Ovis aries: one gene and its partners. The protein of the gene in region 3 interacts with the protein of the main gene of each other region in a biochemical or structural test. Links are inferred from orthologs where the notes say so. Each region holds a gene or a part of one and is shown on either strand. Other genes may lie near its edges.

Region 1 (4,270 bases), on a different chromosome or scaffold from region 3:
CTGATCGGCCTCGAAGCCAGGGGCTCTCACATCATTATAAACTCAACATTTGTGTCACAGGCTTATCCTGATATTAAAAGAAAGCTCCAGAAGCTGGATGGAGTATTATCAATGTCCAGCTCCCAACTAGTTGAAATTGCAAACAAAATATTCAGAAACAGAGATGTGGAAGCCAAGAAAGAAACTGAAAAACTGAGCAGACCAGAGATTTGCAATGCTAGCCGTGGCCTTGGGAAGGCCTGCCAGGCTGCCCACGAAAGCCCCTCCCTCCTGGAGACGAGACCACTCCCTCAGGAAACCTCCACGAAAGCCTAGGTCCACGTTACAGCCCAATCAGCGTGCCTGGTGCCGAGGGTTTGGCCGCTGGAAAAACCAATGTCCTAAAACCACTAAAAGCCGGGAATCAACCAGTACAGTGGCAAGCCTTGACGGATGAGAGACTGAATAGGGATGCCGGGGCTCAGAGACACAGGTCCACAAGAGCCCATGATAACATTAAAAGCAGGGGACCAACTTACTGACTTCATGGTGGATACCGGAGCAGGATTGTCAGTAGCAACTGAACCCACGGCACCTCTCTCGAAAAAGGCCACTGCCATAACTGGGATACCTGGAAAGGAAATGATTAAACAATTCTGTAAGCCCTAAAAGTGCCAGATGGCGGGGGCCACCAAGTGACTCATGAGTTCTTATATATCCCTGAATGCCCAGTACCTCTACCAGGAAGAGATCTACTCTCTCAACTGGGATCACAAGTGACCTTTTCCCCCCACGAACACCCCACTTTGCACATTGACCCGCCCAGCTACTTACTTACTCTCCCTCTCAGTTACCCCACAAGATGAATGGAGGTTACATGAATATACTGAGAAAAGACTAGAGGGGATGAACGGCCGGGAGGAAACACTGGCTCAACAACTGCCCGAGGTCTGAGCAGAAGGAAACCCCCCTGGGCTCGCCAAACACCATGCTCCAATAATAATAGAACTTAAGCCCAGTGCCACCCCGGTTAGAAAACGCCAGTATCCATTGCCCCTGGAGGCTCGTCTCGGCATACTGCCACATTTATATAGACTGAAACTGGCCGGCATCCTGATTGAATGCCAATCAGAATGAAATACACCAATCCTGCCAGTTAAAAAGGAAGGGGGACAGGACTATAGGCCAATACAAGATTTAAGGCTGGTCAGCCAAGCTTCCATGACCCTGCAACCCACAGTCCCAAACCTATATACCTTACTCAGCTTCCTCCCTCGAAGTGCAAAAGTTCTATCCTTGTCTGGACTTAAAAGATGCCTTTTTCTGTACACACCTAGCCCAGGTATCACCACCAATTTTTGCTTTCGAATGGGAAGACCCAACAGGGGGCGCCAAACAACAACTAACCTGGACCCCCCTCCCCTGAGGGTTTAAAAATTCTCCAACCATTTTTGAAGAAGCCCTGGCTTCGGACTTAGGCGCATTTCAGCCAGAAAAGTTTGGTTGTTGGCTGCTGCAATACGTGGACAATCTGCTCCTGGCCGCTGAGAACAAGGATGATTGCTGGGAAGGAACCAAGGCCTCGCTGGGACTGCTGATAGAGGCTGGTTACCCGGTCTCGAAAAAGAAGGCTCGGATCTGCCAGGAGGAGGTGAGGTATCTGGGATTTGTTCTAAAGAGGGGCACAAGGCTGTTGGGCCAGTCCAGCGCCATGCCTCTATCTGGGATGGACGGGCTCCCACGGCGCGTATCACCTCTACAGAGGGGTGATATGACTATGAGGTTTTTTTGCATCAAGTAAGACAACAAAAATCAAGGATAGAATGGCATTAGACATCCTCACCGCCTCACAGGGAGGAACCTGTGCCATACTTAAGGTTGAATGTTGTGTATGGAACCTGTGCCATACTTAAGGCTGACCGTTGTATATACATTCCTGATTTATCTGGCACTGTAACGACTGCTTTGGGTGACATGAGGGACCAAGCAAAAGCAATGTCAGATGAAAATATTCCCTTCTGGACCTCGGTCCTATCTTGGGTAAAGGGTGACTGGTGTGAAACTGCGCTCACTGTCATTTTAATAGTTCTGTTATCCGGCCCTTGCACTTTACAACATGTTGTTAACTTTGTAACCTAGAGACGAACCTCACTTTCCCAGATCGGTGTTAGGAGGCCTAGGGTACAATATATTCCTATGAGTGATGCTCCCACTGAGAGTTAGGAGCATCAAGAGAGAGGAATAAAAGAGGAAAGTGGGCAAAGCGGACTCCATCTTGGCTGCAGGACCCCATTTTAGACTTCTTGAAAACTTTGGACTACATGCCGGGGTGTTCTCCCAGTGGACTTTGAGCTTTGTGCCTGGAATCTATAAAAGCAACATTCCAACTGAAAAACAGACCCCTGGATAAAGGGACTCCAGAACTTGTTCCTGGACTTTCTGTCGCCGAAAAGAATATACTAATCTACCCCAGAGGAAAACAAATTGTTATCTGCACAAAACCTATTGATATATGTTAGCCTAATTAGGTGTCTGGACTAATATATGAATCATGATTTAGCCCCTTCACATTATCCAGGCTAGTTTTGAGGAATTCGGGGAGGAGGGTTTGAGCATGTACACTTAGGGTATATAAGGTTGTCACAAAAACTGACCGGGTCCTTGGCTAAGAGAAGACTCTGCCTTGGGCCCACTGGTGTAATAAACTGCACTCCACTATTTGCGTTGTCCTTCTGAGTGAGTTTACTTCCCAGAGAGCAGAGAGTGTGGCTACAACACTCTCAATTCAGGATGCCCGTCTGTGAAACAGCTGGGGCTCATGAACAGGGCTGCAAGGGAGGGAGGGACAGGAGTGTTCACTGTGGCCCAGCACAGAACTGAAGTCCAACATGGGGCCACTGTTTGCCAGCTAACCCTACTTGTTCTCAGTACACACAGTAGCCTGTTGCTTCACCGAATGACGGTGTTAAGTGCAACTCTTTTCCTGGTTTTGTGGACCAAGAAACTGGATGTTCAGAGAGGCTGGGTCGTTGGCTCAGGGTCACACAGCTGACAACTGGCAGAGCCTGGATTCAGGCCTGAGCAGTTTGGTTCTGGAATCCACAGTCCTAAGCAGGCACAGTCCTGAAGCATGCTTCAGGCCCCACTGAAGGAACAATACACAGTTGGGACAAATGCTGGATTTTCAGGTCTCAACCGGGGAAGGGGGCTCAAGAGAGGCACTCTCCTGTGCCCAAGGGAAGAGGGCAAGAGGGAGCTCATGGTAAAGTCCAGATTGCACTCTCAAAGCCTGGGCTTGTAGCAGATACCTTGTACTGTCCCCAGAACTCCTATCCCATTTCTATCCAGCCAGCCAGCTCCCTTCCCCCTCCCTACCCAGAGTCCCAACCCCCTCCTTCCTCTAACCAGGGATTTCAGGCCCCCAGTCCTTTCCCCAAATTCTATTCATCCATCCGCTGGAAAAGAGAAGGGCAGGGGATGGGTGCTGTGGGCAGTGGCCTGTTCCAGCCCCTTCCATGCCCACTGTCCCAGCCCTCACCAGCTCACCTACCCACCAGGATGGAGGAAGCCGCCTGAGTTACTGGGTGAGAAGTCATCTTTTCAAGGGGGCTGGGAGTGGGGGCTGCCAGGCCTCCAGGCCCCACCCCCTCCCCTCCTTGCTGTGTGTGAAGGGGGAGGACAGCCCACCTCGTGACCTGAGGGGGCTGGCCCAGCTTGCCCCAGCTCAGGAGAAGTGGGCGGGCCAGGGGGGAGCCCTATAATTGGACGAATCTGGGATCCGTGAGTCCCTGCTCAATCCCGGAGGCGAAGGACGCGGTTTCCGGAGGCGAAGAGCGCGGTGAGAAGCAGAGCTGGGGGCCACGGAGACCAGCTCAGGGCTTCTGTGGGGGACGGGCTGCGGGAGAGGTGGACGAGGTGACGGTCCGACGCCGCCCGGACCAGGACAAAAGCTTGAGCAGAGGAGGAGACCAGAGACAGGGGACTGGACCTAGAGGGGTGGGGAGCAGGCGTATCCCGTTTGGACTGGAAGGTGGGTTCAGGGGAGCAGCTGGACCTGCAGGAAAAACCAGACGAGAGATAGCAAAAACCCACTAACTGTTACTGCTGTTTACTGAGCACCTACTGGATGCCCACAATTGTCCTAAGATTTTCGGTAAGGGAGGCTCAGGGGCGGCGGCACGGTAGCTAAAGCGTGGGTTGAAGGACTTCTAAATGAGGATTAAATTAGCGAATATGCGGATGACAGCGTTTAGATGTGAAGTTGGAGCTGAGAATGGGAAGATACAGAGGG
Region 2 (3,500 bases), on a different chromosome or scaffold from region 3:
GCACCGACTACATCGGCCACAAGACAAAGGACCTGCAAGCCATTTGTGGCATCTCATGTGACGAGCTGTCCAGCATGGTCCTAGAGCTCAGGGGTCTACGCACCATTGTGACCACGCTGCAGGACAGTATCCGCAAAGTGGTCAGTAGTCTCCACCCACCGCCTGTTAGCAGGAGCCCCTGCATGTGATGGTGATGATGCTGAGGGACTGAAAGTGAGGCTCGATGCTAATAACCTTTCTCCCCCTTTTAGACCGAAGAGAACAAAGAGCTGGCCAATGAGCTGAGGAGGCCCCCACTCTGCTACCACAACGGAGTCCAGTACAGGACTGGTGACGAGTGGACGGTGGACAGCTGCACTGAGTGTCGCTGCCAGGTAAGGCTCTCGACGGACTGAAACACAAATGGATGGCACACTCTCTGAAGAAAGAGCCAGATGGCTGCGGAGGCTCTTTTCATGTTCCATGGCTGGATACCCAAGTGGTGTCTTTTTCTTAAGATGCAGCTATGACATCTATAAAATCATTTAAATGCTCAGAGTTTTTCAAAGTCTTAATTATACCCCAGGCTAAGAATAATATCTAAAAGAGTATATCTATTTAAATATCTCGGTAACTTACCTGCTTTAGTTCAAGAGCTAAGTGTTGAATATCAGGTAAGTAAAATCAAGTTGGAACCCCCCCCCCACAACCTGATTCATATTTGGCTATGACATGGAGATTCTTTAATACAGTACTGATTGCTATTCAAATCACTTGGCCCAACATCATTAGAACTATCCACTTACCTCAGATGGTACTGCCTGTAGTGTATGTGTCCTTCTGGCTCACCCCCTACCCAACGCCAGGGGCAGAGGATTTTGGGGGGGTGTTGCTGGCTCATTGAGCAAAGTCAAGCTTAAATACAAATCATGGATTGCCGGATTTGGGAGCCACCTTTACTAAACTCCCATTTTTGTCCAATATTATATAAAGCCATATTTATATATGAGAAAGTAAGATGCTCATTGATCTTCTTTTCCCCATAAAGATGTAATTTAAAATTTTTAAAGTCCTGGCTGAGTTTCAGGAATTTGATTTTAGACACAGAGTAACAGATCTGACTCATGATATTAGGTGGTTCCAACTGCATAAATTCATGTTGTTCTGTGCATGAAGAAGTGACTAAGTGGCAATTGAGACGAATTCTAGAGGGATGGAGTGACAAGTAAGCAGCCCTTGAACTGTCTCTACAGTACTGGTGGCTGCCAAAAGACAGGCAGAGCTTCTATTAAAATCATTCCACTAGAGCATTTATAGCCCAGACGACATTTCAGCTTGTAATTGAAATGGTTCAGTATGTAAGCTTCTGCTTGCAATATGCTTAGTACCCATTTCTCCTTCACTGTTGCCCTGCAGAACTCAGTTACCATCTGCAAAAAAGTGTCCTGTCCCATCATGCCCTGCTCCAACGCCACAGTTCCTGATGGAGAATGCTGCCCACGGTGCTGGCGTAAGTTCCTAAGATTGTTGGCCATGCTTCAGTGACTGGATTGATTGTACATAATGCTGGAATACCAGTCCCATCTCTGTCACATGTTTTCATTCAGTTTCTTGCTACAGCATCTGGTTAGCTGATGGCTTGTCTGCTGTATACAACCAAAAAAATGCCATTATGACTAAATTACCCCCCTAATTGTGGTGTAGACAATAACCTTAGTATAGTTTATTGAGTATGATTCTGTGCTTTGAGAAAAGATGAGATGAATTGGTAGCAGCAGTAGCTTTAAGTTAACTGGATTTAGAATCTGACCTTGTGGCCTAGAGTCAGTAAAAATCTGCTCACTGGAGAAATTGATGGACTTAACTGGGCCTGAAAGTTCTACCCATTTTATCTACAGGCGTAGGAGACCTAAGAAAAAATAGTACTTTGAGTCTCAGGGCTCTGTAAGAAATTGTATTGTTTCATGGTACCCAGTCCCTGGGTTTTGCTGCCAGTATAATTAATCACTTTGCTGAGACACTGTAGTAAGTACAAGTCATAAAGATGATTTATCACAACTAAGATGCATGAAACAGGAAAGTAGCACTCCCCCTTCACATCCACGCCCCCCACACTCCCTGTTTCCTACACACACGGATCATAGCTCAGAAGAGCCAGTTCCCTTCAGAGATGTCAGTGACATTGGAACTGTCATAATCATTTGTACATTGCTTTCTGTTCAGCATTCACTTCAGATGTGGGTTAAAGGGAACAAGGCTAGCTAGGGACTAGCAGAGTGCTGAATTTTGAGTCAGGGATTACTAGGAAAACTTCGAACTGATGGCAAGAGAAAACAAAGTTCTCTATCTCCTGTCAGATACAGGACGTGATTGTAGTCATGGCGCCTGGGCAGATGGTAAACAAACACACTTCCCTCTTATGAAAATATGTGCAGAAAAGGCCCCAAATGCTAGGGTGAGAGGAGCAACCCGCTGACTGACCTCATGACTGATCCAGGGCCAGAGCCAACAGCGGCTCCGCTGCCTTCAGATTCATCTGCCAAACATGTGGGTCTCTGACTCTCCTGAAAGTCAGAAGTGATTCCTATAAGTTGCCTAAAACCCAAGTATTCTTGGAAGCCTGGGGCTGGAAATGCCTACCAAGACATCTTAAGTCAAAAAAGGGAAACTCATTTAAAATGCAGACTTGGAAGAAGGGGGCGAGGATGACTAGAAACATATGTGGGGGAAAGGTTCAGCTATACCGACCCAGGCAAAGCATGCAATTACCCCAAAGCTGTGCACAGAATGACCGCTTGGCCATTGGCCTAACAAATATATTGCTTTTCACTCTCTGGCATGGGAAGAAAGTCCAGAGCAGAGCAGCCCAAAGAATAGCTTGTTTTCATGATAACACACTAAATGCACCCATTTGCTCAGCAGCCAGCGACTCTGCAGACGATGGCTGGTCCCCGTGGTCTGAGTGGACCTCTTGCTCTGTGACCTGTGGCAATGGAATCCAGCAGCGTGGCCGCTCCTGCGACAGCCTCAACAACAGATGCGAGGGCTCCTCTGTGCAGACGCGGACCTGCCACATCCAGGAGTGTGACAAGAGATGTAAGTGTTGGGCCACTTGGGGATGTGGAGACCTGACTTGTCCTTGTTGTCACCAATAGCAACTTCAGAGCACAGAGGTTGAGGGCACAGGTTCTAGACTCTGATCTAATCCCAGTTCTCTGCCTTATCTGTGCACCCTTGAGCACAGCTTCTCCTCTCTGAGGCTCTTATCTGTAAATTGGGGGTAAAAATAGTGTAAAGATGTTTAGTTTGGCGAGTTTGAAGATGTGGTTTAGAGGATGCATTTAAAGTGTTAATGTAGAGCTTGGCTTGTGGGAAGCACCATATAACCATCAGCTTTGTCCTTTAGTTAAACAGGATGGAGGCTGGAGCCACTGGTCCCCGTGGTCATCTTGTTCCGTAACATGTGGAGATGGTGTGATCACAAGGATCCGGCTCTGCAACTCCCCCAGCCCCCAGATGAA
Region 3 (3,500 bases):
ATTTGCAGGAGCCCCTTTCCTGTTCCCCCCCTCCCGGAAGGCAGCATGGGGGGGGGGTTTGCTGAGGAGCAGGCAGGAAGGAGAACGGAAAGAGATAATACTGTGCTCGCTTGCTCGCTTGCTCACTCACATATAAAAAGTAATTCCTTCATTTTTTACATTTATACATCCCAGCAGGGCTGGGGAGGGGTTGGCTGGGCAAGAGGGGGGCTCCTTGAAGGACTTCTCTGGCCGGGGGCAGAGGCTCTCTGGGGAAGTCCGATGGTGTAGGACCCTACGCCAAGGGGTCCCCTATCTCATCCTCAGGGCCCCGGCCCAGGAGTTCTCGCTTCTCGTCCGTGCTGGCCAGGGAGTGGCGGCTGCCATGACCGCCCATGTACAGTGTGGCATACACGGGGTTGGTGAAGTTGGTGGGCTGCAAGGCAACAGAGGGTTCAGATTGGGCTCAGGTACCTTCTACCTACCTCCATTCATTCCATCATCCAGCCCAACACACTTGGTTGCCCCACCCACAGCCCTCTGTTCCTGTCCTGGAAGCCCCCTCCCAGCCCACCTTGTCAGGGTCCAAGGCGAAGTCCGCATCCAGTAGGCCCCCTACATCATCAGGCTCCCCGCCTTCATACATCTTATAGGTGGGATTCCCGATCTCCACGTTCATGGCCCCGTTGGTCATCCGCTGGTGCTGGAAGCCCTTAGCCCTGGGTGGGTGGGTGGGGGGGAAGGTGGGAGCATGAGGGCAGGGATTCTAGGAGGGGGTGGGACTAGGGCAGTAACATCATGGCCCTAATTTTCCAGACTCCCCACAACTCACCCTCGGACTCGCCGCTTGTACCAGAATACCACTCCGGCTACCAGAAGCATCAGCAGCAGCAACAGCAGAGGAATTAGGATGGAGGCCATATCTAGAGGCAAAGAGGAGGGAAGCTGAGTCCAAAAGGCCTCAGAGGCACAAAGCCCTCCATCCCACGTCCCTTCCACCTACGTCCAGGCTGCTGCTGGCCGACCACTTGTTCCTCACATCGGGGTCCCGCCATGTGGGGTGGGCACCTGCAGACGGGAGGGGCAGAGCTGAGTGGGCATGCCATCCACCAGGGAAACTGGGAGGAACCGTAGGCTCCTGCTGGTCTGGCTCAAACTTGGGGGAGGGAAGGCTGATCTAGGCCTTGGTGAGGCACAGGCCCAACTCACTGGCACTCAGGCATCATTTTGCTGTTCATGGTGCAGGAACCGCCATTGCTGCAGTGGCCAACGCAGGTCAGACAGCTGGGGGCCACCCGGCCATCGGAACAGCTGCGGGGAGGAGGGCAGCGGCTGGGCGGGGCTGGTGGAGGGTGTCCAAGAGGCTGGGAAGGGGCGGGGCGGGGCTGGGGGGGTGTCCGAGAGGCTGGGAAGGGGAGGGCTGGGGTTGGGAGGGTGGGTTAGGCTGGTGGGGAGAGGGTGGAGGGTGGGACAGACTGGGAGTGGGCCCCACTCACTTGCAGGTGACATCCCCGCTCTGCTTGTTGACCACACAGGCCCCGTCGAGACAGCGGCTACACTTGTTCACCTCACACCTGGGCCCCTCAAAGTAGGCGGTGCAGCGGCACTGGCGGGAGCCATCGGCGGCCATCTGGCACGTGCCGAAGTTCTCACAGTAGCCAGAGCACTGTCCTGTGGTTCAGGGGATGAGAGAGGAGGTGTCTCAAGCCCCACTGTCATGAGGGTCCTCTAGAGGTGGGGGGGGCCTCTGGCCTTTGGGGTGACTTCCACCTCCTCCTGAGCCCCCCACTGTCTCCATGTCACAGGCTCCAGGGTTACAAAGATATCTGGGAGCATCCCAACAGGGCACTGCTTTTGCTTGAATAATCCCAATGCCAGAGGGTTCACTACCTCTGGGAAGAGGGGGTGTGCTGACCTCTCCCTGGGGAGAAGCCCTGGTACCTCGAGCCTGGCTGAGCTGCGAATGGCCTCCTTCCCTAGAACTAGCCCCTGTGACCCACACACCCCCCACCCCCACCTCCATCATCCCTGGCTGGGGCCCAGGGGTGGCTCACTCACGGTACTGGCAGCGGTCCCCCAGGAAGCCGGGCAGGCATCGGCACTGGGGCTGGTTGCCCTGGTTGACCGTGCAGGTGCTGTTGTTGGCACAGTAGCCTGCACACACCTGCTGGGTGCATTTGGGGCCCGTGAAGCCTGTGGGGCACCGGCACGTGGGCATGCCTGGCAGGAGACGACGTGTGAGCCGGACTGTGGCCCACTGACCGCCTGGCCCTACTGCAGGGGAACAGGGCTGGGAGGCAGGCAGCAGAGGACAGCAATGCTGGGGTTGGGGGCAGCAGGTGGGAGGGCAGCAGAGGCGAAGTAAGGCAGGGCAGAGGTGGCTTGGGGGCAGCAGGGTCCAGGGGCCAGGAGGAGTCCTGGCAGGAGAACCAAAGGCCATACCCGAGGGAGAGGCAGCGCAGGTGCCCCCGTTGCGACAGTGCTCCCAGCACTGGTCCAGCTCACACTTGTCGCCTGTGTAGCGGGGCTGGCATCGACACTTAGGCTGCCTCCGTGCGTTGAGGAAGCAGCTGCCGCCGTTGAAACATTGTAGGTTGCAGGTTCCAGGCCGAGGAGCTGCAGGAAGGGTTGTCAAGGGCAGAGCCGGCGTAGGGGGTGGATTCAGGGGCTGTAGGGAGGAGGGTTCCAGGGCAGGGATGAGGGGCCAGGGAGGGGCGTGAGCATACCGTCTGGCGGGGGCGTCGGTGAGGGCACAGCCACACAGGTGCCATTGTCCAGTCGCTTCCCATTGGGACAGGTGCAGACGGGCCCACTGGGACTCAGCAGGCAGAGCCACTCGCACTTTTTGCGGTCACAGGGGTTGGTCACTGCAGAGGTGGGCAGCGTGGGAGAAGGCTGAGTCCTGTGACCCAAACCTCCCCTGCCCACCAAAACCTGAGGCTGCAGCCTGGAGATAGCACCCCTGGGCCTTCCCTGCCCCAGCCCGGGCTCTCCCTCTCTGCCCACCTTCAGGCTGCTTATGCTGGTGGTACAGGACCACATCGGAGGCGTGGCTCAGGCCCCCAGTCAGGTTGATCAAGGGGCTGTGTCCAAACTTATGGATCTTGAAGACACGATTATTGATGTAGGTGACGCCATAGATGTAATCCTCGAAGACATCAATGCTGAAGGGGTGACTCAGGCCTGGGGAGAAGTCAGAGGGGACTTAGACCTTAGTGACACTCTCCTGTCACTGGGTCCCAAGGCTCTCAGGGACCTCAAGCTGAACACGTCCTGTTCACACCACCCCTCAACCTATTCCTCCCACTGGCAACAGGTCCCATCAGCCTCTGAATGTGGGGTCAGGAGCGACTTCTGCTCCCTCTCCCCATGTGTGCTAAGTTCCCATTATCACCCATGTCGCCTCCACGCAGCTCAATACCTATTGGTAAAATGAATGAATGTAAAGGGGGCCCAGAGGGTCAGGGTGGACTCAGGCCTGCAGGACTGGTCCTGGGGGTGACTGGTTGGGAGGGGCCCAA
Region 4 (3,937 bases), on a different chromosome or scaffold from region 3:
CTCTGCCAGCCCCCAGCATCCTCTCCAGCACCCTTCCTCGTCCTCCTCTCTCACCCTCATGGTGCCTGGTCTCCACTAGACATCGACATAACAGATGCCACCGACTGTGCCCTGTGACGTGCCAGGGATCTCGCGTGCTTTGTCTCTCTCTAATCCATATGTGACCTCAGACGTGAAAGCTCAGCATCACTGAAAAACTTGACTGAGGTCACATCCCTCATGCCCGGTACAGCTGATTCAAGCGTCTGCCTTTCCCTACATGGCTCAGCCCTGGGCCCTGACTTATGAGTCCTCTGCAGGGGGTTACCAAATCCTACGGAGCATTTACGATTAAGAGCAAACTCCAGAACACTAAAACACTTCCCAGTGTCGGGGTGGGCGGGGAGGGATGGAGTTTCTAGTACAGGCAGCCCCGTGGAGTCAGAGCATCAACTCAGCAACCCCACCTGTATCCCCCAGCCCAACCAGACATCTCTGGAGCTGAACAGACCTTAGTAATCAAGGATTCACTTTATGAAGAAGTGAAATGATTTCCCCCCGGGGTGATGGAGCTAGGAGTGGCTCACTCCAGGCTGGGGCACTGCAGGTGTGCAGGTGGGGCCTGCCTACCTCTGCTAACCTGTCCTCACCCCAGCCCCAGGTGATCAAGCCCGCAGGGCGGCTGGCCCTGCCAGGCCCGCTGTTTCAATCTCCTGTGTCCAGAGGGGCAGAGTGACTGCTGGAGATTCCGGAAGAACCCTATCCACTCCGTGTGTCTTTGTTTAGAATTGTAAAAGCCTCTCTCCCCCACTGGGGCTTAGAGCTAACGGATCCTCAGGGTCCCTTTAAGGAGGTTGAGACTAGGGTTTGAAAGGAAGATGGTTCTTCGGGTTCCCCTCCAACATCCAACTCCCAAATTCCTGTGATTCGTTGATGACATCAGGACCATGAATAATCGGCCTGGCCCCGAGCCAGGATGGGCTGGGCTGCTTCCATGGGGGAAATTCCTCCCCCCCTTTATGAAAAGAGGCCCGCCCCAGCTTGGCTCCTGCGGGGCCCAGTGTCCACTGGGCATCCTCCTGCCGCAGCAAAGCCCGCCCACCCAGGGCCAGCGACCCCACCCCCTGCCTTGAAATTTAAAGGAGGCCGGTGCCCTGCAGGGAGAGCCAGCCACGGTCCTGCAGAGCCTGGCGCCGAAGACAACGCCTCTGGAGGAGGGAGAAGGCTTGGGCGCACGGTAGGTTGGACTCTGTGCCTCTCTGTCCCTGGCTCCTCTTCTCTCTCTTAAAAGTCTTTATGAGCCACTGAAGGAATGTCGGCCCGAGGGGGCTGACTCCGTCACTCAGGCCAAAAGTGGGGTTCGCTAGAATCCATGTCTGGAGGGAGGTTTCTTTTTGAATGTGCATCCTACAGGGATGGGCTGAAGCGTTCGAGGGGACAGCAGCGGTCAGGGCAAGAGAGAGGGCACTAGGGTTGTGTCTCCTGAAGCAGAAATCTCTGCTCGCACAGGGGAAAGTGAAAAGGGTGATCCATACCCGCTCTGAGTAGACGGTGGGCCCGGCTCATCACTCACGGGCAAGAGAAGGGAGACAGGCTGATGGGGTCAGAGGCCAGAGGGTCCCGGGGGCATGAGCCCACAGGGAAACTGAGGCAGGGCTGGGCAGAGAGCGACTTGCCCACGGAGGATTCACTGGGTGGGAAGTGCTGGGTGAGAGGAAGGGGGAAACCGTCAGAGCGAAGCCTCCGGTCTCCTTCCGAGGCCGGGTTTTGTCCTCTGGCTTTTTGCCCAGGATGGGAGGGGAGGGCTCTTTGAGGACTCTTCCAATTACAGAGTCTTCTCTTCCCCAAGCTCTCTACAGGAACTGTATTGGGCATTCTAGGCTTTCACTGTTATTATGTTGATTTTCTTTACCTCCCAGAGAGGGAGGGAGGGAGGGAAGGAAGGCACTCTAAGGTAACTGATGACACGCTCAAGCCCAAAGCCGTGTGGTGGCGGTGACTGATGTGGACGGCAGTGGTGGCCTCCCGCAGCTGGTGCATGACAGAGAAAACATTATGTGTGTGTGCGTGTGCATGTGTGTGCAAGCCCATGAAGAAATTCTGAAATACAGCCGCTAAGTGGAGTTTCCTCAGAAGGGCTTCCTAGCAAGTCTTGCCTGGGGGCAGAAGACGTCCCAGGATCTGGGCTCTGACTGCTCCAGAATCAATAGATGACAGTCAGAGGAGCTGCCGGCTAAGTGCTTCCTGTGAGAGCAAAGCCAGACCTGGCGCCAGCAGAGACGGCGCAAATAACCGAAATAGGAAGAGCTCCATCCTACCCATCAACTGATCGCACCTAAAACATTCTCAGAGACACCAGCCTGCAAGCGCCGGCTCTTGGCATGAGCAAGCGAGAGCTTGCTCTCCGCCCGAATGGTCCAGGCTCTTTGCGGATGCTCGGTTTATTTTATAAACCATTAGATCAGATTCTCCCAGTGAGGCTGCTCTCTGTGGCTTCTGCACTGGCCTGGGACAGTTCCTGCTTCTGGAGGAACAGAAATGGTCCCATGATGAGTTTTCGCTTGTGGGGGCAGGACCTGGGGACCTGGGGACCTAGCGTGTTGGTGAGCAGAGCTGGTGATCAGTAGATTTCAAACGAATGCAAAGAGCAACCCAGCCAGATCCCTGGCGGTGTGACGTGAAGCTGTCATCACCACGAAAGGCTTTTTGTGAGTGAGTGGCCAGGACCACAGGCCATCTGGGAAGTCCCTGCCCAGGTGGGGCCTGTCTCTACTTCACCTCCAGGTCTTCTGGTCCCGCCTGGGGTTTTACAGCAGCGTGAGGGGCCTTGGGCTAGACCGTCGTTTGAGAGGAGCACAGTTGGCTTTAAACTTCCAAAGCTTCCAGAGGGAGGGTAGGCTGTCTTGGATCAGAGGCCGAGGGGACAGCATGGCTCATGGAATGAATAGCAAGCAGGCTTGCTGTGTGTGCTAAATCACTTCAGTCGTGTCTGGCTCTTTGGAACCCCACTGACTGTAGCCTGCCAGGCTCCTCTGTCGATGGGAGTCTCCAGGCAAGAATACTGGCATGGATTGCCATGCCCTCCTCCAGGGAATCTTCCCCACCCAGGGATCGAACCAGCATCTCTTATGTCTCCTGTGTTGGCAGGTAGGTTCTTTACTGCTAGCGCCACCTGGGAAGCCCAATAGTAGGCTTAGTTCCAGTCAAAACTCAAAATCTATATGCTTCTCTGAATACTGAATATCTGGGGGAGGGAGGAGGGAACATTTGTGTCTTGAGTTGAAGTGTTCAGTTTCAAAGGCTCCCAGGCATGTGCAGTCTCAGAATAAAATCTGTATTCCCTATGAGTGACTTTCTGCCTTGTTCTGATAGGATGGTCAGAGTGGACGGTGAGTGACCGGAATACTCTGTTCATTCCTTCTTTGGCTGTTCTCTGTGCACAGAGAAAAACTGTGTCCCTAGTTTCAGACAGTAAAACTCATCCTAGCCAACCAGCTCACAAAACCAAGGGCTGGGTCTCCAGTGGAGCCAGATTAAAAGGTGAGGAGGATCCAGACTCACAGAAAGCTCGAGCTAGGAAGAATCTTCTGAACCATCTGCCCTAGTCCAGCCCTCAAGTCCAGGCACACGGTCTCCTGCTATTCGCCTGAGCGTCTACTTACATATTAAGGAGAGCACACTTTCTCAGTCATACTTGTGCATTTTACATTCCACTTTCCCACCTGCGAAAAAGACTTCTATAGAAGGGCATAGAGGGATAGATGAACAGACCTCTTGATCGCCTGAAAGTTGAAACTTAGTACAAAGGGAAAAGGAACTGGGTGCTGGGCCCACAGCAGGCATTTTATAAACAGTTTTGAAGGTACAAGCCAGGCAAGTTCTGGTTTTGATCATGATTCTCCAGAAAATGATAGCAGCAGTTCTTCCTGGGGAACTGGTACAACTGGGGGGTCTTTAG
Region 5 (3,500 bases), on a different chromosome or scaffold from region 3:
AGGCTAGCACTGTCCAGAGGAAGTACCCATGTGGCTTTTCTTATATACTTTTTAAAAATTTATTTTTAATTGAAAGATAATTACTTTACAGTATTGTGTTGATTTCTGCCAAACATTAACATGCATCAGCCATAGGTATATCTATGCTCCCTCCCTCTGGAACCTCCATCCCACCTCTCTCCCTATCCCACCCCTCTAGGTTGTTATAGAGCCTAGTGTGAGTTCCCTGAGTCATACAGCAAATTCCCATTGCCTATTTTACATATGGTGATGTATGTTTCCATGTTTCTCTCTCCATACATCCCACCCTCTTCTTCCTCTCTCTCCCACGTGCATAAGTCTGTTCTCTATGTCTGTATCTCTGTTGCCCTGCAAATAATTTTATCAGTACCAGCTTTCTAGATTCCATACATAATGCGTATGGAATTATCTTTCTGACTTACTTCACTCTGTATAGTAGGCAACTTGTTGCTTTAGATTTCTCAATCCCCACCTGAGCCAGAACTGTTTTTATTCAGTTTAAAGCAAAGTTATCACTGGGAACCCACATCACTCACTGGGCTCTCAACAAGCCTGTTAGAATGCTTAGTTCATGCCAGTCTACTCCTACCTAAAGAAGAGCCTTCCTTACCGTCCAGCCATGGATCACCACAAAGGTTTTGCTGCTGTGGTTGAAGTGACAGTTAGCCACAGATTCCGTCACTCCAGGAATGAGGTGGCAAGTGTCCTCAGCTGTGTCTTCGGGAGTCCTGAGAGCAAATTTACTTTCAATGTCTCTAAAATCTTTTCCTCTTGTAATCCCTGAAAATGAAAAATTGGATAGGAGGTTAATTAGAGGGTGGTTTGTTTTATTTGCTGGACTAGTGTGCTTTAGATTCACAAGCAAATACCACTAATGCTATTTTTGTTTCTAAAGTAAAAAAAAAAAAAAAAAGTAGATTGCAAGAGAATGGTTGATCCTCCAGTGGTACTCAAAGTTGACAGTGCTCCAGTGCTCAGTTGTATCTGACACTTTGCAGAGGATAAGATAGTTGAATGGCATCACCAACTCAATGCATATGAGTCTGAGCAAACTCCGAGAGAGCGAAGCACAGGGAAGCCTGGTATGCTGTAGCTCTTGGGGTCACAGAGAGTCGGACATAATGACCGACCAACAAAAACAAGCAACAACAAAGCTTGTTTGAGGGAAGACTGTTTCCTTTTCACTACACTATTTTTAAAAATTTTAACAAGAAGAAAAGTTAGAAGCATGGGGACATTTTGTATGGAATTATTCCTCCCCACATGGCAAGATACATCAGTTCAAAATTGCTTTAGTGATTTGTTCAGAAATATCTGTGCTATGTATGAATTATGATTAATTCTTTCCCCTAATATTTCTTTCCTCACTTATGTCTTCACAGACTTCCACACAAAACCGATGCTTAAAATACTACAGCAGAGGCGGTTTTGGAAAGAATCCACTCTTCATTGTTAAGCCCCGACTGAGTCAGGAGAGTAAGAAAACTCTGGCCTATTTTTGAGTCTCTGGACAATACTTCTAAATGTTGATGAATCTTCACAGGGTATTTGTAGGAAGTACATACTATATCATAGTAAACATCTTAAGTAAATTTTAAGTAAATTGTATTGCAATTTACTTTTGATTTTGCCCAAGAAGTTATTTTACTGTTAGAAACTGCCTTAGAAAATTTCAAGCTAGGTTAGTTTCACCCACATCACTCTGTATCAAATGATTTATGTTTCCCTTCTTAACAGTCTTATTTTAATATGTTCGATCAGCAAGCTTTTTAAAGCAGAAATAACCTGAACAATCTGGCAGACAGATCTCGCCCACCACCTGGTTGCTAAACTGATATTTAAGATTATTGCTATGCATAACTCCAGAGGATAAGAGTCACTTTTAGTCTATTTTTTTTCTAGATTTATGCAACATGGTGGCCCTAGAGTTGCTGGTGGTTTTGAAATGACTAAGAATATTCTTTGAAATTATTAAGGCAGGATTTGTATATTTCTATGAAAAAGAAAAGTCTGTTAAATCTTTAACTGTTGTACCAGATTACCATATGGATCATTCAGAGCTCCAATTTCCCACACCATCATTTCTATGGGCTACATAGCTTGTAAAGAAAAATAGAAGAAAATTCATACATTTACAAGAAAATTTGTATTTGGAAACTTCTGTTTTGCTTTTCACGGATTTTTTTTTTAAGTTACAGAAAGCATAATGAAGCCTTTGACAAGAAAACAGTACCCCTCTATATGCTATGTGATGTTTTCAATTCTTTGTCTATTCTGTATATGAAATTATAGATGCTACTGGTGTTTAATCAGTCTTTCCCTCTCCTTGGTGTTCTGACACATACCAAAGGTATTTCCACATACCTGGTTGTTTGTAATCACTTAAGGATGTCTTGGCATTCTAAAGATGAGTGTGGTTTCCCAATTTCTACCAGCCCTCATACAACTGACTTAGGCCAGGAAGAGTTAGGGAGAAGGATAGACCCTGACTGTGGGTCAACAGTATGTTTAGTCATCATAATATATACCCTGGGGATTGCTCCTGGCTGGCAGATTGAACTGATTTGACTCAACTGCTACTAAGGAAATTATTGTTTTTTATACATGGAAATGATAATAGAAGGACCTTTCACTAGATCCCCTTAGAAGTAAAGCCACCTTAGAATAGTGTGTGTTACAGGGGAAGTTGCCTAACATTTAATCCTTTTTAAGGCCTCTGTTCTGAATTTGACTCATCATATTAGTAACATCACACCATGAGATGTGTCCTCATCAAACACTAAGGGAGATTTGGGGGCATCAGGTAAGTTACAAGTCAATGCATTTCTTGACTATGTAATCTTCATCTCTAAATTCCTAAATAAACAACAAAAAATCAAAGTGTGTTGACAAAGGCTAGGAGTTATCTTAACACAGATAATAACTCACAGAGATGAAATTAGGTCAAGTCCAAACCCTTTAAAGGTATACTTATAGAAGGTACATTATAGGAGGAGCATTGAGCATCCCAGAAAAGTGACTCTAAAGGCAGTTCACAGTTATCAGATAAATAAGATTAACATTTATATGAAGACATGAGGTATATGAGCTCAATTATAATGCCATTCTCTTAAAGTTTTTACTTCCTTCCTTTCTCTGTTTGTTTTTCCTCTCTGACACACACAAACATACACTCCTAAATAATGTCATCAGTAATTCACTTCTTCTCTGAGGCTGATGGTCATAATTATCAGCTCAGCTTCTATAGAATGCTGACCCCCCGCTCCCCACCAAAAAAAAAAAAAAAGGTTTGGGGAAAAAAATCAGTGTTGCTATCTGAATGAACTGATTGGAGTTTTCAGACATTCTAATGTAGACAAGCCGCTTGCTTACCTAACAAGCAGATTGACTTTCCAATTTTACAAAAAAAAATGTTTGCAAAAATATCAGCTGTAAACTCTACAGCCTAATTTCTCCTCCTGAAATAAAGCAAGAAAGGA
Region 6 (4,008 bases), on a different chromosome or scaffold from region 3:
CACACTGTTTCCTATCCTCTAAAAATCACAGTTTTACTATCTCCAAAAAAATTGCCTACTGACACCCTCCTATAAGACCAGCCTCTCTCTCTAACTTCTCTTATACCACTAGTCACCAGCCTTGCTCCATTTCAGCCACAGTTGGTTTCTCTGTGCTCCTCAAATGCATTCAACTCATTCCTGCCTCAGGGCCTTTGCACTTGCTATTCCCTCTGCCTTTAATGCTTTCTGGTCTCAGGTCAATGGTCATTGTCTCTGAGAGTCCTTTTCCAATCCCCAGACTGATGTCCTACCCCAGCTTTTTCTTACCACACATCACCATCTTTTAAAATTGGTGTCATAGCAGTTGTTACTATCTGTCAGTTTTTACTAATTTACTTGTTTATTGTTTCTGTCCTCATACTGGAGAGTAAATTCAAGACCTTAAGGATTACTTGTCTATCTTTTTGAACCTCTTACCCTACTCCATAGAAGAGACTGGCACAGTTGGCATGCAAATAAATTGTTAGTGAATGAGTGGATTGTTACTGATGTATTATTATCCCAGGAAAAGCACACTTGCTGTGAGTAGGGAAAAGTCCTACCATTTGCTATCACTTAACCTGTGTAGAGATCGATGTTTATCTCATTTGGTTCTTACAGTAATCCTATGAGACAGATAATCTGGTTCCCATTTTGCAGATGAAGAAATGGAGCCTCCATCATTTCTTCGGCAATTTGCTTAAGATCTCAACAACTGCAACTGGAACCCTTGTCTGCCTGTTCCTGTGCCCACACACTGGATCCTGGGGGAGGGCACAACAACTTCTCTGAGGATTCTGCTCGTGCAAGACAGCACGTGTCTGCTGCGGCAAAACCTCGTGTGTGTGAAGACTCCGCCGAGGATGAGGCTGTGTAAAAGCATGTGCAGGCCAAGAGCCTAGCGACAGCTCCCGGAGGACTTCCTCTAATAAACCGTCATTACTTGGCCTGAAGTCCAGATTTCTCTGCGGAATAGAGAGTCCCAAAAGGTGAAGGCTGCGGAGTGGCTGCAAGTTTTGGCCTCGCTGTGTTCAGAGCTGGGAGGGAACTTATGAGTGGGTACTGAGGTCCTTCTTCCCTCCAGCGGTGCTCACGTCCTGTCCGGGTCGGCCTCGCTACTGATGCGGTCGCCTGCATTCTGCGCTAGGTGGCGAAATGCTGTGGGGCTCCCCTATTCGGGGGAATGCGGTAGTGATGTATAAGGTATGAAAGATGTGGCCTGCAGAGAGCCGGCACTATCTCTACTGCTGCCGCTACTGCTGCCGGCAGAGCTGCTGGGAGTGAGCATCCCCCGTCAGGGATACCCAGCTCCGCGGCATCTCCTGCGCGCCCTGGCCCCAAACGGACCTGCCACCCCCAGGGAACAAAAGCAGAGCCCCCTCGCCCTCTCCTGCTGCAACCGGAGGATGAGTCGAGAGGGCTGAGCGGAGAGTGTGGTCCTCGGCGGCCGGCGGGGAAGGTAGGAGAAGGTGTTGGGCTCTCTCGCTCAGGCGTGGGAGGCTCGGGGTGGGCGGGCAGGGGCAGGGGCGGCAAAGGGGACCAGTCTGTCCCCGGGGTGCTGCCCGGCCCGGCGAGGTGGTCATCTGGAACGCAGCGCCCGCACCGCCTGCCAGCCCAGCGCAGGGCGGGTGTGGAGCTCCGCAACCGCGAGGGAGCCCCCTGGGTGGGAATCGGAAGCGGCTGGGGGAAAAGTCCAAAGCCGAAGCCCCACAGGCAGCGGTCCAGGGCACTCGGTGGCGCGCGGCTGGCTGCGAGGCAGGCAGCGTTGGCTGCAGTGTGCGCAAAGTTTTGGGTGGCGCGCAAAGGCGCGGGCAAGGGCCCTGCGCAGCGCAAGTTGCGGCCGCAGCCAGAGGGCGAACCCCGGGGGGCGGGGGACGGTGCTCCAGGCGGACTCCCCGACACTGAGACTGGCGGCTTTTGCTCCTCCATGCCAGCCGAGCCTGGGTTTGCCCTCAGCCATTTAACCCTTTCTGACCTGGGAGAAACAACTTCATCTTCTTCGGAGGCGGCTGCACTCAGGCTGGCTGGATGGCGTCGAGGCTCCCAGCTCAGTCCTTTTGAGCTTTTTCGAGTTTCCCAGCACGTTCTAGGTTTTCTGTTCTTTTCTGGCCACCTCCGTGTCCAAAAACCAGGCAAGCTGGCTGGGGCGGGGTGTCTTCCCCCACTATCTGTAATTTTACCCCACGTACCACCCAGACGCATGTTTTCTCTGTTCTCACTCAGCTTGGCTCTTTGATGCTGTCTTGAAAAATGAGATGATTAATCAATTAGGTTAGTGGCCAATTAGGCATAACCTTGTAGAAAAATAATTATGCCCAGCTCTCTGGGCTTTCACTGTTGATGAGGTGGGAATCCAGCCCAGGTGGAGGGGCTGTTCTAAAAAGATAGGGCCGATCAGGGAATTTCTGGAAATTTCAGATTAAAAAGATTCAAATGTGTGGTAGTGGCGGAGGTTGTGCGGGTGCTACTGTAGGGGTGTGTGTGTGAGAGAGAAAGAGAGAGAGATAATCAATTTTTGCAGAGGAAATTAACCCTTGGCAGCTCGGTCTAGAAGGACTTTGCAGGCAGTACGTTTCAAACACCTCAGGAAAGGTGTGTCCGCTGCTTGCCTTCCCCATCCCCCCTCAACGCTGAGGGGCTCTCGCCTGTAAATCGCCTCACAGTCGCTTTGCTGTTGCTTTGGGAGGCTGAGTTCCGATGAATGCATTTTAGTTTCATGTCCGAGGAATCGCGTTGTTGCATAGGGAGGTTTCTATGCTGTGCCTTCCGAGGATACAGATTTCCCCGGCTTGCGTTCAGTAAAGCGGTTATTAAACCGGGATAAAACAGAGACAATGTGTTACCAGAGCTGGGAAGTTCTTGCTGCCAAGCGAGGCTTCCTTTTGCTTTTGGGTAAAGGACTGGCGGGGTTTGGCACTGCGGTATTACAATACAGCCATATTAAAAAGGTCCTCAGAGCCTAGAGCCGTCCACCACTGCAGCCGCATCTCCCACAGACTTTACTGCTGGAATCCTTCTTCCCGGGAACATGCGGTGGATTTCTGATGAGTACTGAGTGCATTTTAACCCCGTTCTGTTTCTATTTTAATCTTCTTCTGTTTATATCTCTGGACCCTGGAAAGTAGATTCCTGTCCAGAAAGCAAAAACCTAGAGGTGTTCCCAGGGTGGAGGCATTTTTGCAACAGGTCGTAGGTCTGGGTTTTCTGATAATGGGTCCCCCTGGCATTTAGCAAGCTGGGGACCTGCTTCCTTCACCAATGACCGGACTGGGGTGAAACAGGGGGTCCCTGAGATCCCCTGCAGTGCTGACTGTAACTGGTTCTGAATTGTATGGCTTTTCTTCCTTTCCAAGCTGATCCAGAGGAGTAGCTAAGCAGTGCAGTGAGGCAGTGGCTATGCCGCCTCACTCCCAGTAGAATGGAGGGGGACTGGCTGAGGCTTATTGGCAAATAGAAATGGTCCAGCTGGAAGACTGCCTAGTGGTACTGGTGTCCGGGACAACTGGGAACCACATGCCCCACCTGCCTTCATTGGAATCAAGGGCCACCATCCAGTCCTCTCTCTTTTACAAGATTTTTTTTTTTTTCTTTTCTTTTCTTGAAGCTAGACTCAGGTAGTTACCTTACTGTGACCCTATTTGTTGGTCTGAGTCTTGTGCTGGCAAAGGCCTTGCTCCTTTTCTGTAATCAAAGCTTTTTCACATAGTGGGTAGGGATATAGGGTGGGTGAGGTGGGGGGGAAGGAAGGGAGAGAGAAAAGAGGGAAAGAGGAAAAGGCGGGGGGGGGGGGGGGGGGGGGCAGTAGTAAGAGAAAGAGAGACAGAGACAGCTTAAGACTTCAAATACAGACAGTGGGAAAGAGAGAGGCGAGATGGAGAACAAGAAAGGAGGAGGGAGAGAGGAGGAGGAGGGGGAGGACAAGGAAGGGAAGGGGAGGAAGAGGAGGGAGACACAGGCAGAGGGAAACAGGAGGAATTCCAGCGCTGA
Region 7 (3,182 bases), on a different chromosome or scaffold from region 3:
ACTGCTGTGCTGACACCCCTGGGGCCCAGAAGTGGGAAAGAGCTTGTCGTAGGAAAGGCGTGAAAACTCCAGAGGGCCACTGTGAGAAGAACGTCTGGTGGAAGGGCCCATCTCTGGTGGTCCATGCACACCTCGAAAACAAGACCTCCTTTCCTGGAGCTGGTTTAGCAAAATATGGGAGGGGGGTTGGCTGCTCTGAGGCTGCTGTCCTTTTGTGGCCATGGAGCAGAGGTCTAAGTTGGCACTGACCTGGGCAGACCAGACAGAAGTTGTCACCCCAGGCCTGTACTGGTCAGCCAGGAACCCTGTACGGCTGCTGCTGCCTGGTTGCCAGGCTGTTCAAATAAATACAAGGGACTTGGACTCGAGACCCTGCTGCAACTGTCCCAATTTCTTTTTTTGAGGCAGGGAGGGCAAGGGGGGCCCAGGAACAAAATCCTAACGGAAGGAGGAGGGTTCTTGGAGTGATGGTGTGTTGCGGGCACAGGAAAGCACACAGCTGAGCAGGGCAGACTTTATTAGTGATATCAGTACAGCAGAGGTACCCACAGAGCAGAGGAGAGAGGACCCATGCCTGGACTGGCCCCCCGCTTCTGCCCCAGCAGGATCCTATGAAGATGGAGCCTGGCCTCGACCAGTTCCTCCTGCTTCACCTGAAACGTGGGGATGGAGAGCTGGGGCTGGCCTTGCTTCCTCTTTCTGCTCCTCTTCTCTCAATCCAATATTGTCACTTGCAGAATTAGATCTCCCTTCCCAGCCCCCAGGTGAGGAACCCCAGCTACTGGGGAGGGCAACTCTGGTGGGGGGGGACCTGAAGTCTAATAATAGCCTGCAGGGCCCCTCCCCACCCCGCACCCTTGAGTTCCTTGGGGCCCAACGCAAGCAGGTGGAGGGAGCACGGACGGCTTCAGGGGGTGTGGGCCCCCAGCCGTTTAGGCTTGAGGGAGCCCCACAGCGACTGAACGCCCCGGCGGACGGTCCACCCCACACGCCGGGCAACAGACTCGGCTGGGGGCGCTGGGAGGCAGGAGGTGGAGGCCTGGGAGCGGGCATCCAGACACTTCTGGTAGCGGAGCTGCAAAGGCAGGAGGTGCAGTCATGCCGCAGCCTGCCCCAAGTGGGCTGGGCGCCACCGCTCCACCACCCTCCCCACTCACCATGCACGCAGCCTGCACGGCCTCCGAGAGGCTGGCAGCATTGGGCTCGCACCAGAACATGTGGCAGCAGAAGGAGGCTGGGCCGGCAGCCATGATGAATGCAAACGTGTGGACGTCTCTGCCCACGGCCAGGAAGGACAGGAAGCGCACCCGGCACTCCCCCAGCACTGCCTCCGTCTGCGGGGAGGGGCACCAGTTGGAAAGGGATGGCCGGACCCTCTTCCACTGGGTGCATCCATCTTTCCGGAGGCCCCTCCCCTCATTCCCAGTCTTGCCCTCCACAGCAGGGCCCTGCCATACCTTCTCCACCCAGGTCTTTACCTGCTGGTGCAAGATGGTGAGAGTGGCAGGGGCCACGCTGACGTGACTTGGGGTCCACTGCTCACGGCTACTGGAGGACAGGACAGATTCCAGGGCCCCATTTATCACATCTACCCCTGAAAGACAAGGACATGAACATGGCACTGCTGGTGGTGGACAGAGGACACCCCAGCTCTACGCTGGACTGTCCAGCTCTGCCCAGTCAAGCCCGGGGTCTCTGCCCCATCCCTACTTCACCTGCCCACAGCCCTGGACCATGCTGCATAGATACCCTTCTTTGGTGCACTCCTCCTTGGTTTCGGTGACCTGGCACTTTTCTAGTCTCTTCCATCTTGAATCCTAAGCTTGCTTTGCTTCACTGACTCTGTCTCTTCCTCCAGCCTTCTAAGCAGACTGACCCCCAAAGTTCTATCCTCCCCATACCTTGCTCTCCACATTCACACACGGCAGTGCTTCATACAACTCCTAAATCAGCCCCTATAGGCCAGTTCTCGCCAGTCCTTAAGACTCCAGGATGCAAGCTTTGCTTTTGGCTTTTTTTTTTTTTTTAATTTCCATTTGAGCAATGTTGTCTCATGTGTCACACCACGTTATGACATTATAGTGCACTGTCATACACAATCTCACAACAGATCCCTTTATCACCATTTTATAGATAAGGAAACTGAAGCTTATATTGAGAAATCAGGTAATTGACCTTAGGTCACAACCGAGAAATGAGGATCTGAAGACAGGCAGTCTGATTCCAGAGCCTGAGTTCTCAGCCAGGCCTTTCCCCTGCCCCTTGTCTGTAGTCCTAGTCTCAGAACCAAAGGGGCTGTCAAAATCTTACTGCACTCAGTAATTTCTAATATTTATGCAAAAGCCAAGGAATCCAAGGTTCCTGGCTTTTAGATCAATCAACTTGCCCTTGTAACAATGTTTCCGTTAACTCCTAATGTTAACTGCCGTTAAACACTTCCACCCATGACATTTCCACCCATGCATCCGTGCATGCCACCGCCACTGGGACTCAGCAGAGAACCAGGGCAGCAGCATGGGGCATAGGTTCTGCTCCCTGCACTGCTCACGAGCTGGCTGTGTCATCTGTGTGTGGTTACAGTGACGACGTTAGAGTGACTGACGTCCATGCGGAAGCACGCACTGGTCCGCCCCCAGGCCCGCTTGCCCCTGTCAGTGCCTCTGGGCTCCCACTGGGAACCGAACTTGTGGACCCTTTGAGGGCAGAAAACACATCTTCCCCCAAAGTCCTCCCTCACCTTGGCCTTGCTCATCTTACCTCTGATTGGATCAAAGCCAAACTTCTCTCCTAAGCATGAAGTCCTCCAAAAACTGGCCTCATCTGACCTGTCAAGCTTCGTATTTTACTGCTCCCTGAGCTTCAAAGGATTTATGTAGCATTATCAACGTCTAATCTTGGCAAATGCCCAGCAAGGCAGATGGGAAACACAGAGTAAAAGAAGAGGGTGCCCTCCAGGGACAGACTGTAACTGAGGGAAAGCCTCCCTCCAGAGGGCTCCTCCTCTCTTGACTGTCTGCGAAACTCCCAGTTCTCACGCATCAGGGTTCACCTAGGCCCTCCTGTCTGGGAAGCCTTCCCTGCCACAGGCAGACAGGGTGCTGCTGAGACAACTCTTGGCACATCTTGTAACTGCTAGGAACTTCTTCACACTAGGCTATGGCCATCTCATGGACAGATATCAA

What was found.
Region 1: the proteins of LRP1 (region 3) and APOE form a complex in vitro, tested with the Homo sapiens proteins (2 studies listed by IntAct, with this or other methods). The link is inferred for Ovis aries from reciprocal best matches to the Homo sapiens genes LRP1 and APOE.
Region 2: the proteins of LRP1 (region 3) and THBS1 form a complex in vitro, tested with the Homo sapiens proteins (3 studies listed by BioGRID). The link is inferred for Ovis aries from reciprocal best matches to the Homo sapiens genes LRP1 and THBS1.
Region 4: the proteins of LRP1 (region 3) and PLAT form a complex in vitro, tested with the Homo sapiens proteins (2 studies listed by BioGRID). The link is inferred for Ovis aries from reciprocal best matches to the Homo sapiens genes LRP1 and PLAT.
Region 5: the proteins of LRP1 (region 3) and LPL form a complex in vitro, tested with the Homo sapiens proteins (3 studies listed by BioGRID). The link is inferred for Ovis aries from reciprocal best matches to the Homo sapiens genes LRP1 and LPL.
Region 6: the proteins of LRP1 (region 3) and DAB1 form a complex in vitro, tested with the Homo sapiens proteins (2 studies listed by BioGRID). The link is inferred for Ovis aries from reciprocal best matches to the Homo sapiens genes LRP1 and DAB1.
Region 7: the proteins of LRP1 (region 3) and APBB1 form a complex in vitro, tested with the Homo sapiens proteins (2 studies listed by BioGRID and IntAct, with this or other methods). The link is inferred for Ovis aries from reciprocal best matches to the Homo sapiens genes LRP1 and APBB1.

Annotation. Positions count from the first base shown.
Region 1 is NC_056067.1:52,423,412-52,427,681, forward strand, and holds the start of APOE (apolipoprotein E), read left to right. Parts: upstream 1-1,470; 5' UTR 1,471-1,630; intron 1,631-3,525; exon of another isoform or gene 3,526-3,581; intron 3,582-3,767; exon of another isoform or gene 3,768-4,009; intron 4,010-4,270. UniProt on the Homo sapiens protein: APOE is an apolipoprotein, a protein associating with lipid particles, that mainly functions in lipoprotein-mediated lipid transport between organs via the plasma and interstitial fluids.
Region 2 is NC_056060.1:33,437,131-33,440,630, forward strand, and holds part of THBS1 (thrombospondin-1), read left to right. Parts: coding exon 1-140; intron 141-251; coding exon 252-374; intron 375-1,395; coding exon 1,396-1,489; intron 1,490-2,898; coding exon 2,899-3,075; intron 3,076-3,385; coding exon 3,386-3,500. UniProt on the Homo sapiens protein: Adhesive glycoprotein that mediates cell-to-cell and cell-to-matrix interactions.
Region 3 is NC_056056.1:162,409,824-162,413,323, forward strand, and holds the end of LRP1 (prolow-density lipoprotein receptor-related protein 1), read right to left. Parts: intron 3,163-3,500; coding exon 2,986-3,162; intron 2,847-2,985; coding exon 2,706-2,846; intron 2,596-2,705; coding exon 2,422-2,595; intron 2,200-2,421; coding exon 2,038-2,199; intron 1,651-2,037; coding exon 1,476-1,650; intron 1,291-1,475; coding exon 1,189-1,290; intron 1,048-1,188; coding exon 983-1,047; intron 903-982; coding exon 812-902; intron 699-811; coding exon 554-698; intron 416-553; coding exon 275-415; 3' UTR 115-274; downstream 1-114. UniProt on the Homo sapiens protein: Endocytic receptor involved in endocytosis and in phagocytosis of apoptotic cells. Required for early embryonic development. Involved in cellular lipid homeostasis.
Region 4 is NC_056079.1:36,401,518-36,405,454, reverse strand, and holds the start of PLAT (tissue-type plasminogen activator), read left to right. Parts: upstream 1-1,137; 5' UTR 1,138-1,216; intron 1,217-3,937. UniProt on the Homo sapiens protein: Converts the abundant, but inactive, zymogen plasminogen to plasmin by hydrolyzing a single Arg-Val bond in plasminogen.
Region 5 is NC_056055.1:45,935,610-45,939,109, forward strand, and holds part of LPL (lipoprotein lipase precursor), read right to left. Parts: intron 802-3,500; coding exon 632-801; intron 1-631. UniProt on the Homo sapiens protein: Key enzyme in triglyceride metabolism.
Region 6 is NC_056054.1:32,967,013-32,971,020, reverse strand, and holds the start of DAB1 (disabled homolog 1), read left to right. Parts: upstream 1-1,208; 5' UTR 1,209-1,480; intron 1,481-4,008. UniProt on the Homo sapiens protein: Signaling adapter of the reelin-mediated signaling pathway, which regulates the migration and differentiation of postmitotic neurons during brain development.
Region 7 is NC_056068.1:46,391,686-46,394,867, reverse strand, and holds the end of APBB1 (amyloid beta precursor protein binding family B member 1), read right to left. Parts: intron 1,595-3,182; coding exon 1,479-1,594; intron 1,335-1,478; coding exon 1,158-1,334; intron 1,076-1,157; coding exon 908-1,075; 3' UTR 501-907; downstream 1-500. UniProt on the Homo sapiens protein: Transcription coregulator that can have both coactivator and corepressor functions. Adapter protein that forms a transcriptionally active complex with the gamma-secretase-derived amyloid precursor protein (APP) intracellular domain.